Canis lupus familiaris: one gene and its partner. The protein of the gene in region 1 binds, or shares a complex with, the protein of each later gene. Links are inferred from orthologs where the notes say so. Each region holds a gene or a part of one and is shown in the gene's direction. Other genes may lie near its edges.

Evidence for each region.
Region 2: HBS1L (region 1) and PELO share a complex: the UniProt entries of both Homo sapiens proteins name them as parts of the pelota-HBS1L complex. The link is inferred for Canis lupus familiaris from reciprocal best matches to the Homo sapiens genes HBS1L and PELO.

Annotation. Positions count from the first base shown.
Region 1 is NC_049222.1:27,967,252-27,972,956, reverse strand, and holds part of HBS1L (HBS1-like protein), read left to right. Parts: intron 1-1,809; coding exon 1,810-2,069; intron 2,070-2,534; coding exon 2,535-2,700; intron 2,701-5,347; coding exon 5,348-5,465; intron 5,466-5,705. UniProt on the Homo sapiens protein: GTPase component of the Pelota-HBS1L complex, a complex that recognizes stalled ribosomes and triggers the No-Go Decay (NGD) pathway.
Region 2 is NC_049225.1:63,365,159-63,370,772, reverse strand, and holds PELO (protein pelota homolog), read left to right. Parts: upstream 1-2,542; 5' UTR 2,543-2,582; coding exon 2,583-3,308; intron 3,309-3,605; coding exon 3,606-4,037; 3' UTR 4,038-4,230; downstream 4,231-5,614. UniProt on the Homo sapiens protein: Component of the Pelota-HBS1L complex, a complex that recognizes stalled ribosomes and triggers the No-Go Decay (NGD) pathway.

The DNA of each region.
Region 1 (5,705 bases):
TGGATCCCCAGACCCAAGGTCACGCCCTGAGCTGAATCAACTGCTGAGCCACCCAGGCGTCCCAACCATAGTTGTCCTGCTTGTATCTCTTCTCCATACTGGAGTTAAATGCTTTCCTTTGAAGAAAAGCTTCTATAACTAAAAACAGATTTGAAACCAGAAATTGTGATTTCTCCCAGGTCTGATCAGAACCAGAGCCCTAGTTATTTTGGTTGAACACTTTTATGAGAATTTGTAGAGATTTGTTTGTTTGTTTTGACTTGCCTAAATGCAGATTTGTCATGTTTTGGTTTTAGAACTAGCTGTGGTCATTCAAATATTTGCAAATTACAGTCTAAGATTTCACTTAATTTAGCCTTTAGAATCCTTCAAAAGAACTGGAACCTTCACATACTTAAGTTTGTTCCCTGTGGTTCTAGATGAAGCTAATCTAAGTGGTGTTAACGAATGAATGCCAAAATTGTTAGTAGAGATTTGCAAAAGCAAGAGAAAAGGGGAGAGTAGATATGAGGTTTTTAATGAAGTTGCAAATATAACTAATGTGACCCTTTCCTGAGGCCTAGGATGAAGGGTCTGAGTTGAGACATAAAAATGCCCCGAGAAGGGAAAAAGGAGTCTGCTTTTTGTTATAGTAGACAAGAGGAAAATAATGTACTGTTCTCATATAAACTGCTTTTTGTATGTAATTCTTTGCCAGTCTCAAATGGAGTTGGATAGAATTGGTTTCATTCTTAATAACTTGTAATTTAACCTGTTATTTGTCCAAATTCTGTTTATCTGTGTCACTGAAAGGAATGTAAGGTATATTGTAGTCTGATTGATTAGATCACATTACTGCTAGCCATCCATAGGATAGCACTGATACAGTTTCTGTAGGTAATGGTCAAAGAGCTTAATGAACTAAGGTCAGAGAGAATAAGTTATGCTAGATGGTCTTGTTTCTACTTTATGTATTGAGTCCCTCACTACATTATAAGCTTTTGGGATTAGTAGATAAATTTCTCATCTGCATCTTCTTTTCTTCTCAACATCAATGTCTAGTATAAGTTGTAATTTTTAGAAAATCAAGTATTTGTTTAGTTAATGAATTAAAAACTTCTTTGCTGAAAGTATTGAGAAAATGTAGACAGATAAGATATCTATCTCCCTTAAGGATAGTGTTTGAGCAAAAAAGATTAAAGTCTCTGTCCTGTTGGAAGAATGAGTTTGGGATAATTTTTTTTTTTTTAAATACTACTTTACCTCTGGGAACACTTTTAGTGCCAAGTTTTGTTTTGTTTTGTTTTTTAAAGATTTATTTATTTATTTATGATAGAGAGAGAGAGAGAGAGAGAGAGGCAGAGACACAGGAGGAGGGAGAAGCAGGCTCCATGCTGGGAGCCTGACGTGGGACTCAGTCCCGGGACTCCAGGATCGTGCCCTGGGCTGAAGGTGGCGCTAAACCGCTGAGCCACCCAGGGATCCCTTTTAGTGCCAAGTTTTACAAAATCTCTTCTTTATGCCATGTTTTGATAGGATCATATGGCTAAGGCTATGGCCTTGAATTCAGTTATTTTATGGGATATTTTCTTCTTATCTCAGCATTTGGTAGACTGTTTTTCTCCTGGGATCTTCTAAGTCTGTATTTGTGTGGTTTGTGTCTAGCTACTTAAAATTTCCACCTTAATAGGCTAGCCACTTAGTAGAGATCATTTTTGGTCTGCAAGTGTAAGGAATTAGAAGAGACAATTTCTCTGCCCTTCTGACATTAACAAGAGGATGTCAGTTGAGTTGGTTTAAACACTTTTTTCCTATCTCTGCTTTCTATAGAGTAACTGAAGAAAATGGTCATAGTTTCCACACACTTCAAAAAGAACATCTTAGTGAAGAAACCAGCATTGCTTCTTCTGATGTTCTTGACACTGTTTCTAAATCAGTTCTCCCATCCCACACCATTCAAACATCAGAAGAGCAGAATTCACCATCAGTACCGGTGAAGAAATCTGGCAAGCTGAGGCAGCAAATAGATGTCAAAGCGGAACTGGAGAAGCGGCAAGGAGGGAAGCAGCTCCTCAACTTGGTGGTCATCGGTAATGCCCTTTAGTCCTCTGGATGGTCACTCACCTCTGCTTTAGCCTAGCAACCTCCTAGTGGCAGCGTGGACACTCGTTCCCACTCTTTGAGTTTCTGTGTTGGTGTAAATGGACACAAGCAAGGAGGCATTGCATCATGATGCTTTCTAGTCACTTTGTGGGGAATGATGCCAAGTTATCAAGGAGTTATTAGACTTGTGGCATTTTCATTTTGTGAATATTTTGAAAACGCCATATCTTACTGACAGTTTTAATTTCCAAAAGTCAAGGAAACTCCCCCCCTCTCTAAAGAGATACTCTTTTTTTTTTTCTCCATTTACTTTAACTATCTTTTGATAAAAATTGGTATTTATTACTCGAAACACTGACACGAATTATTGGATTACATATGCATGCAATGCCTCGATGTGAACAACGTCTGGAAAATGTACCTAGTATTAATCCTGAATCAATTTTCCTTAGGTCATGTTGATGCTGGGAAAAGTACTCTGATGGGCCATATGCTTTATCTTCTGGGTAATGTAAACAAAAGAACTATGCATAAGTATGAACAAGAGTCTAAAAAGGCTGGCAAAGCTTCGTTTGCATATGCATGGGTCTTGGATGAGACTGGCGAAGAAAGGGAAAGGTAGTCATTATATTTCAAAATTTTCAGTTTGCAATGATATATAATCTTTTAAATAAGTATGTAATATGTGTTGAATGAAACATGCCATGAAATATTTTAGAAACTTCTTTTAGAGGAAAGCTTTCAATTATTGGGGAAATATTTTTATTATAGTTTCCATTGAATCTGTATACATTTACTATTCCAAATTCTATGAGAATAGTTGAATTTTATCAAAAAAAAATTAAAACACGCACACAGTAAAAGGCAGTAAGAACCCTTTGTTAATTATTCTGTGGGAGAAGTTTCAGTTGTCCCTTCCCGAAATATGTCAAATTGACTTGATATTGAATTAAAATTACGAATGAGACTAAATTTTATAGAAGATAACTTTAAGGGAAGGTAACTTTTTGCAGTAAACTCTTTTCTGTCTGGAATTAAAATGACCAGTAAATTTAAATTATCACACTTAATTCATTTTTTATACTTTCTGTAGGATGTTTTTATAAGATAGAGTCAACAAACAAGTAATTAAACCTACCTCCTACCATGGAGATTTAGTCTGTTACCCCTGTATCTATTACTGTGCCCAATGCTAACTCTGCAGGAGAGAACAGCTACTCATGGACCTCTGGCCAAAGTATTTCTTTTGAAGTCTTTTTAGAGTGATCATATGTATCATGTTAGAATTGTCAGGGATCAGAGAGCCAATGGCACCTTTGTCAGGAAAGAAAGAAGGCACCTAAATAAGTGAATTGGCAGGTGTATCAACTGTGTCAAAATAATAATTAAGTCCTCTGAAAGTCCTCTGAAAGTCCTAAATCAACAAAGGAAGTATTCTGTGTTTCTTATCTTCCTTCTGAGTATGATTAGAGAATATATTTGGATTTTCATACTTTAAAAAAGGTGTATATTTACTTTCTTGGAGTCTTGAATAGTCTACATTAAAATATATAAGGTAATCTCAATAAAGGGGGTCACAATATTCCTCAGCTCTTGTGATAAACAGAATTGTATATCAGGGTGGGTTTTTTTTTCTTTTTGTAGGTGTCTTATTTATTCTTTATAGCATCACATGCTTGTTTTCCAACCCAGTAAGGAAAATTAGTTGGTGGCAAATTTTTGGAAAATGAATATTGGAAAACAGTGGAATTTTTGTATGATGTCAATGTTAGAAGAACAAATAATTTCCACCTATCAGCTTACCAAACGGATTATTAAAATACATGGCTCCTTAGTTACATTTGTGTCATCTGTTAAATAGGTAAAGAGATTGAGAATGGTATAATTTAAGTTAGGATGACTTGTTTGAATTAATATGTGAGTTGAACTGGCAGGTGAGCTAATTATTTAATTTCTGGAATAGTCAATAATTTTAGTGGGGTTTTTATTCTTTTTGATACTATATCTACTGGTTGGCTGTTATATTTTTGCTGCTAGTAGTTTTCTATTGCTCAGAATGATGCAATTTTAGAATATTTTATGGTTCTGTAGATAGCAGATGCTTCTAGTTACATAATAAGAATTTTAACTCACCAGTAGTAATAGTATTTCAGTAGTATTTCAAAAATACAGTGTGTTATATCCTACCATATTAAACATTTATAAATTGTTCTGCTCATATGTTGAACAGAAATTAGTATAATGAGGGATATTTATATCCCTAGGGTTACAAATGCAGACCAGACCTGGCTCCAAAGAGTGTGTTTTGGTCAAAGCAGTCTATGGAGAAGCTCAGAATGAGTCTTGGTTCATCAGTCATCTAGACAATTATTTGAGGATTATTAGAATTAGACATCATTTTCACCAGGTCAAATGGCCCATGGTTTCAGATTAAGTTAGAATGACTTGAGCAAGGAGACCCATGTGTTATTTCATTGCTCTGCTAGGGTATTATCAGAACAGTTGGTAGTAGAATGGAGTGCCCATTCATTACTCTGGACTGTTTGGGGCAAGCCAGGATGAATGATTACCCAGTTTATTGCCCACCCAATTTCCTTTTCCTGATGTCTAGAAAGACTCAGTACCTTTGTAGACCCTCCCTGGGCTTTCTTATAATCCAAACCTACATTTTTTTTGGCTAAGAAGAGGCACTGTGTTGGTCTTCAAGAAGGACGAAACGGGATGTAAAACAAACTGTTGTTTAGTTCTCTCGACTTTTAAAAGTTTTGGTATCTCCTTTGATATTTCCTTTTTTCTAAATGTGGAACATTCTGACCTACCTTACAAATGAAAGTTTAGAAGTTTATTTTTATCATTAGTGAAGTATCTACATATGAAGATGAGGAAAACTGCCTCCATCCACTTTACCTTCTCTCATGGGCAGTATTTTCTGTTTTCTCTTCCAGAGGTGTCTCCATATATTTTTTTGTTCGTAGTCTACATAGCCTCTTACCCCCAGAAAAGGAAATGGGAAACATCCAGCATTTTTGTTAAGCTCTTGCTGTGTCCAAAATCTTATTTTAAAGGCATACACATGTAATTCTGTTAATTGCAGAAATTCTAGCTCCCAAGTGATAGCTTAATTAGTCAAAACAGTAGACTGTGTAATAAAATTCCCATTGTTTCTTAAGAATTCACTGTCAATTAGCCTATATTATTAAATGACTTAATCCATGGCACTGATTATTTCTATAGTATTTTCTAACCATTTTATGTTTTCTTTAAGGGGAGTAACAATGGATGTTGGTATGACAAAGTTTGAGACCACAACCAAAGTTATTACATTAATGGATGCTCCAGGCCATAAGGATTTCATTCCAAATATGATTACAGGAGCAGCCCAGGTACCAGATATTTCCTGAATTATAGTACACTGATTGTACATACAATTTCCTAATTCTGAGCTTATAATTCTGGGATTGTAACTTTTAAAGTATTTTGAAATTAAAAAATTTAACTTTTGAAAAAAAAGATTGTATTTTTATGATCTCATTGTTACTATATAAAACCTATTCTAATTATATAGATGCAAATTTATAAAAGCTATGAATTTCTTATAATAAAAATAATGGTAAAGTTCATGA
Region 2 (5,614 bases), on another chromosome or scaffold:
AAAGATTACTCCTGTGGAATATAGGATGCTGGAGGGCCCAAGTGGAAAATAATGTTTGTAAGGCAAAATCATGGAGGCCTTGAATGCTAGAGAATTGAATTTTAATTAGTAGGGAATGAGAACTCCAAATAACTCCAAATAAAAATGTAATTAGTCTGGAAACAGTAAGTTACCACACAAAATCTGGGAGAAAACATCTGATTGTTCAACAGTAAGTTACAATTACTAAAAAATCGTTCCATTTCAGATCAAATAGTAATTCTATGAAAAATTTTGTAATATGTTCAATCACTGAAGCCCATTTATGTTTAAAAAGACAGCTTAGGGGGATCCCTGGGTGGCTCAGCAGTTTAGCGCCTGCCGTAGGCCCAGGGCGTGATCCTGGAGACCCAGGATCAAGTGCCACATCAGGCTCCCTGCATGAAGCCTGCTTCTCTCTCTGCCTCTCTCTCTCTGTCATGAATAAATAAATAAAGTCTTAAAAAAAAAAAAAAGACAGCTCAAAGTAGTTTACCCTATGATTTAAATAAACTTTTTAAAAGAACCACAGAATTAACAGTTAATGGGGGTTTCCCACAGGTTTTAAAGTGTAGAAATATGTGCATAGTTTTCTAAAGTAGAATACTGGATTCTTCTCAAGGATTGTAATGGTGACCTAGACTGGACGGAAGGAAAACTATGTTGAATGGAGGAATATAAAGATTTTTTTAAAAGTAATGAAAGCAAGAAAGGGACTGTGCTTTTCAGATCCTGTTAGTTCCTAAGCTGTGTGTCTTTAACTAGTAAAAGTGACAAGAAGTGGCAGTGAATGACAGCACATAATTTGTGATTGCAGAGATGATTTTGAGCATCCGTAATATAGTTTGCAGCACTGGATAGAGGAGAGGGTGTGGAGTTAAGCAGGTCTGAATTTAAAAGCTGGTTATGTGATCTTGAATTCATTTATTTCCCCGTAATTCATTTTCTAATCCACAAAATGAGGATAACAAATATTTACAGGAGAGGATTAGAAGAGTATAGGAAAGTACCTGGTGAATATTCAATAAATGATAGCTCTTCAATAAAAACTTAACCCTTGTTAAGATCCTACTGTATGCCTGCCACTCTGAATCTGTGGTTTTTAATCTTTGTCAGGCTTTGCAGAGAGGTAAATTCTACTTTAAAAAAAAGTGATCAAAAAATAAATAAATAAAAAAAAAGTGATCAAGGAGCAACTCAAAGTATTTCTCTTCCCTAGTTATTAGTAAATGTCCTTTGGAGAAGCAACCCATCTTTACGCTTTAGTGCAATCAGTTCCTTACTCAAAAGTTACTAGGTTTTCTTGGAAGTGCAAGAAGGGGGCTTTTTCTATTCAGTGATCTTGTTAAGAGGCAATCCTCACTTTTCAACCTCTCGCCACCATAAAACGCCAAGAGATTTACAGATTTTCTTTAAATCCTGTTGGTCCTAGTAAATCAGACGTTCCCCACTTCCAGTACCCTCAGCTCTCAGCTAGACGTTAGCAGTGAGGGTCAGGCCCTAAGCTTTTGCGACCCAACCCCCAACCTAAGTATTTCACAGGCTACTGAGCTGCGTGAAGCGGAGACTGCCAATTTTGGATTCTGGGATTCCCAGGACACCAGGGCAAGCAACTGAGCGGTCCACCCAGGGGTAAATTCCCCAGACGGTTTCTTGTGTCTCTGGGGCCAGCGCTTTAACGTCTGGGGAAGTCGGTCGGTGCAGACACGGTGACTAAGCGCGGCAAACAGCTGGGCAGATTGCTCGGAGCCCAGACCCATCGAGACCCGTCGTTGTTAGAAACCGGTTCTGGAAATAGCAACTCCAGCAGGTGGGCAGCGTTGGGGTGCGGATAAGGCGAAAGCACGTTTTAGAACTTTGGGAGCAAGTGTGCACTTCGGAGAATTCCTTTTACTTCTAGTTAAGGTTTGAAACCGGATTTAGCCCAAGGGGAGAGAAGGTAAACAGCGGCAACTTCACGCATCTGGAAAAACAACAACAACAAAAAAAAACCAGTTTGCATTCACATAGTCCCCAAAGTCTGCACAAACAGGTTCGGTATTAACATAAAAGACCCGCCGCCGCCGCCGCCGCCTCCGAGCGCTTCCCCCCGCGGGTTTCCTCCGAACGCGCCTAGCGACGGCGACGACTACGCCTGCGCCCCGGGGGCCTGCGACCCCGCGACCCCGCCTACCCCGTGGGGACGTAAGACGTGCGCCGAGGGGCGGGCTGCGCGCTGCGCATGCGCTCTGCTGGCGGCCGCCCTGGGTCCGCGCTGGCGGCTGGAGCCTCGGAGAAGCCGGCTGCTCTGTCTCTCGCGGGGTCCGGCGCGGCGCGCGCGGAGACCAGGAAAAGAAGGGCCGGCGTAAGTGTTCCCGTCGGCCGCTTGAGTCAGAACTAGAGCATTTCCTTCCCGCCGGGCTAGTGCCTGCGGGGACGCGGGCCCCGCCCCCTCCCCGGCCCAGACCCGCTTTCCCCTCCCTGCCCCCCTCCCACTGGGGACCTCCTCGTGGCCTCGCGTTCTGCCTGTGAACACCGCCCCCCCACCCCCACCCCCACCCCCACCCCCACCCGCCGCCGGCGTCATGAAGCTCGTGAGGAAGGACATTGAGAAAGACAATGCGGGCCAGGTGACCCTCGTCCCCGAGGAACCTGAGGATATGTGGCACACCTACAATCTAGTGCAGGTGGGCGACAGCTTGCGTGCCTCCACCATCCGCAAGGTGCAGACCGAGTCCTCCACGGGCAGCGTAGGGAGCAACCGGGTGCGCACTACGCTCACTCTCTGCGTGGAGGCCATCGATTTTGACTCTCAAGCCTGCCAGCTGCGGGTTAAGGGGACCAACATCCAAGAAAATGAGTATGTCAAGATGGGGGCTTACCACACCATCGAGCTGGAGCCCAACCGCCAGTTCACCCTGGCCAAGAAACAGTGGGACAGTGTGGTTCTGGAGCGCATTGAGCAGGCCTGTGACCCGGCCTGGAGTGCAGATGTGGCGGCTGTGGTCATGCAGGAAGGCCTCGCCCATATCTGCTTAGTCACTCCCAGCATGACCCTCACTCGGGCCAAGGTGGAGGTGAACATCCCTAGAAAACGGAAAGGCAACTGTTCGCAGCATGACCGGGCCCTGGAGCGATTCTATGAACAGGTGGTCCAGGCTATCCAGCGCCACATAAACTTCGATGTAGTGAAGTGCATCCTGGTGGCCAGCCCAGGATTTGTGAGGGAGCAGTTCTGCGACTACATGTTTCAACAAGCAGTGAAGACCGACAACAAACTGCTCCTGGAAAACCGGTCCAAGTTCCTTCAGGTAAAAAGTCTTCTCCAAGGATAATTAAGAGTGGGCAGAGGGATTTGTATAAAACTCCTCTTTAAGTTTTAGAACCGGGAAAAGTACAAGAGGACAAGGGGTTCACCGGACTGTGATTGTAAATGAGACAATGAAATGCAAAGAGAGTTGTTAAAAGGCCTTGTGTATCTAGTAAACTTTGCTTAAGTCCTCAAACCTATAAAGCCTCAGTTGTGCTTTTGGCTCTAGGTCATCGCAGGCTGATTAATGGGTACTCTCAGAGATTCTTTTGTCTAACTTTCATAATTATGATTCTAGGTACATGCCTCCTCTGGACACAAGTACTCCCTGAAAGAGGCCCTTTGTGACCCTTCTGTAGCTAGCCGCCTTTCAGACACTAAAGCTGCTGGGGAAGTAAAAGCCTTGGATGACTTCTATAAAATGTTACAACATGAACCTGACCGAGCTTTTTATGGACTCAAGCAGGTGGAGAAAGCCAATGAGGCTATGGCAATTGATACATTGCTCATCAGCGATGAGCTTTTCAGGCACCAGGATGTTGCTACCCGGAGCCGGTATGTGAAGTTGGTGGACAGTGTGAAAGAGAATGCAGGCACGGTTAGGATATTCTCTAGTCTTCATGTATCGGGAGAACAGCTCAGTCAGTTGACTGGAGTAGCTGCCATTCTCCGCTTCCCCGTCCCTGAACTCTCTGATCAAGAGGATGATTCTAGTTCTGAAGAAGATTAATGATTGGACCTTATAATTGAGACAAGCTGTGTCTCTGTTGTTACATTTTCTTAGCATCCTGACAAAAAGCTGCAAGGCACTTTGTGGTTCTTACAGTGATTTCTCATGTATTTGGGCACACTAGGTATCTTGTGATTGGCAGGATATGTGTTAAAACTAAACAATAAATTAAAATGAAATAATCTCCATCTACTACCATCTGTATTAATTAGAATAATTTTTGAAGAAATTATGAGTTATTTGCAGAGCTTGAAAACATATCTTGTATTTAATTAAAAAAAAATGGCTGTATATTCTTTGGGATAGATCATAAAATCCCAAATGTCATACTTTGAATAAGTTTTCCTTAGAAAAAGCTGTTTAATACTTCATTATCCTAATAAGTTTACATTATTTTAATTCTACATAGTGTTCTTGCACTGTTTAAGATCCCTTTACTCCATTTCTTCACTTTTTTTTTTTAATTTGCTATTTTAAAGGATGGCCAAATGATAGACTTTTCTAGAAGACAAATTTAAAATGTCCAAAGAGACTTGTTAAATCAGTCATGTTACAAGTAAACTCTTGGTAGGTTTTTTTTTTTTTTTTTCCTACTATTAATCTTACTTGCTTTAGAGGACCCCTTAATCAGTTATTTTTAGATATAGACTTTTGATCTAGAGATTCTCAAGATAAGCTATTTGAGGTATCTTTATTTTTAAAATGCAGTTAAGATACATGATTTGCTTGTTGTGTGACTAGTGCTAAAGCTGAAAATATTCATTTCTGGGCTCCATTTATTTGCACTGCCACACTATGTATTATTTGGCTTATCCTAGATATATGTAGTGCTATCTTATATTTCTATGTGGCATTAGTTTGTGCTTGCACATTCTTATTGGACTCTCTACACCTTATTTTAAGATGTGAGAAGGTCTACTGAGAAAGTTTGATTAAGTTACATCATTAGTAGCATGTGGTAGTTGACTTGTACTCCAGTACTCTTTACTGTAATGAGGGAGTTTCTGCTAATACCTGAGTTTAAAATATTTTCATTCGGTATTTTGGATGTGCATTTTAAGGGGTAGGGAGGGATCCTTAGAATGGAATTGCATCCTTACTTTTTACAGACCTCAGTTTAGCAAAAGAATTAGGAAAGGCGTTATGAAGAAAGAGTGATAATCAGTTTGTAACACATTGGTACCTACTTCGAGTATAAATACTAAGTAAACTTTTGCTAATCCTTTCTGTTTCTGGGCATTTCTCCTGGGATAAGTGCCAGGTCTGGGGATTATTTTTTATAAATTTAACTAATCTGAGTTTATTTTAATCTGTAATTAGAAATAGACACTTCCATATACTTTAAAATCACATTTTTACATATCTACCTCTTAATCTAAAAATAGATTGTCATTTTATTATAAGTCCATGAATATTTAACTTTAAAATACTATGAAAAACATGTTATTAAATTATTTGGTAGGAGTATAGAAATGAAACTGAGATTCTTGACATTAGAACCTGATTGATAATGATTTGTATTCTCAGTAAGAATTTGGAGAGTTGGGGCATATATTACTCTCATAACTTATGCAGTA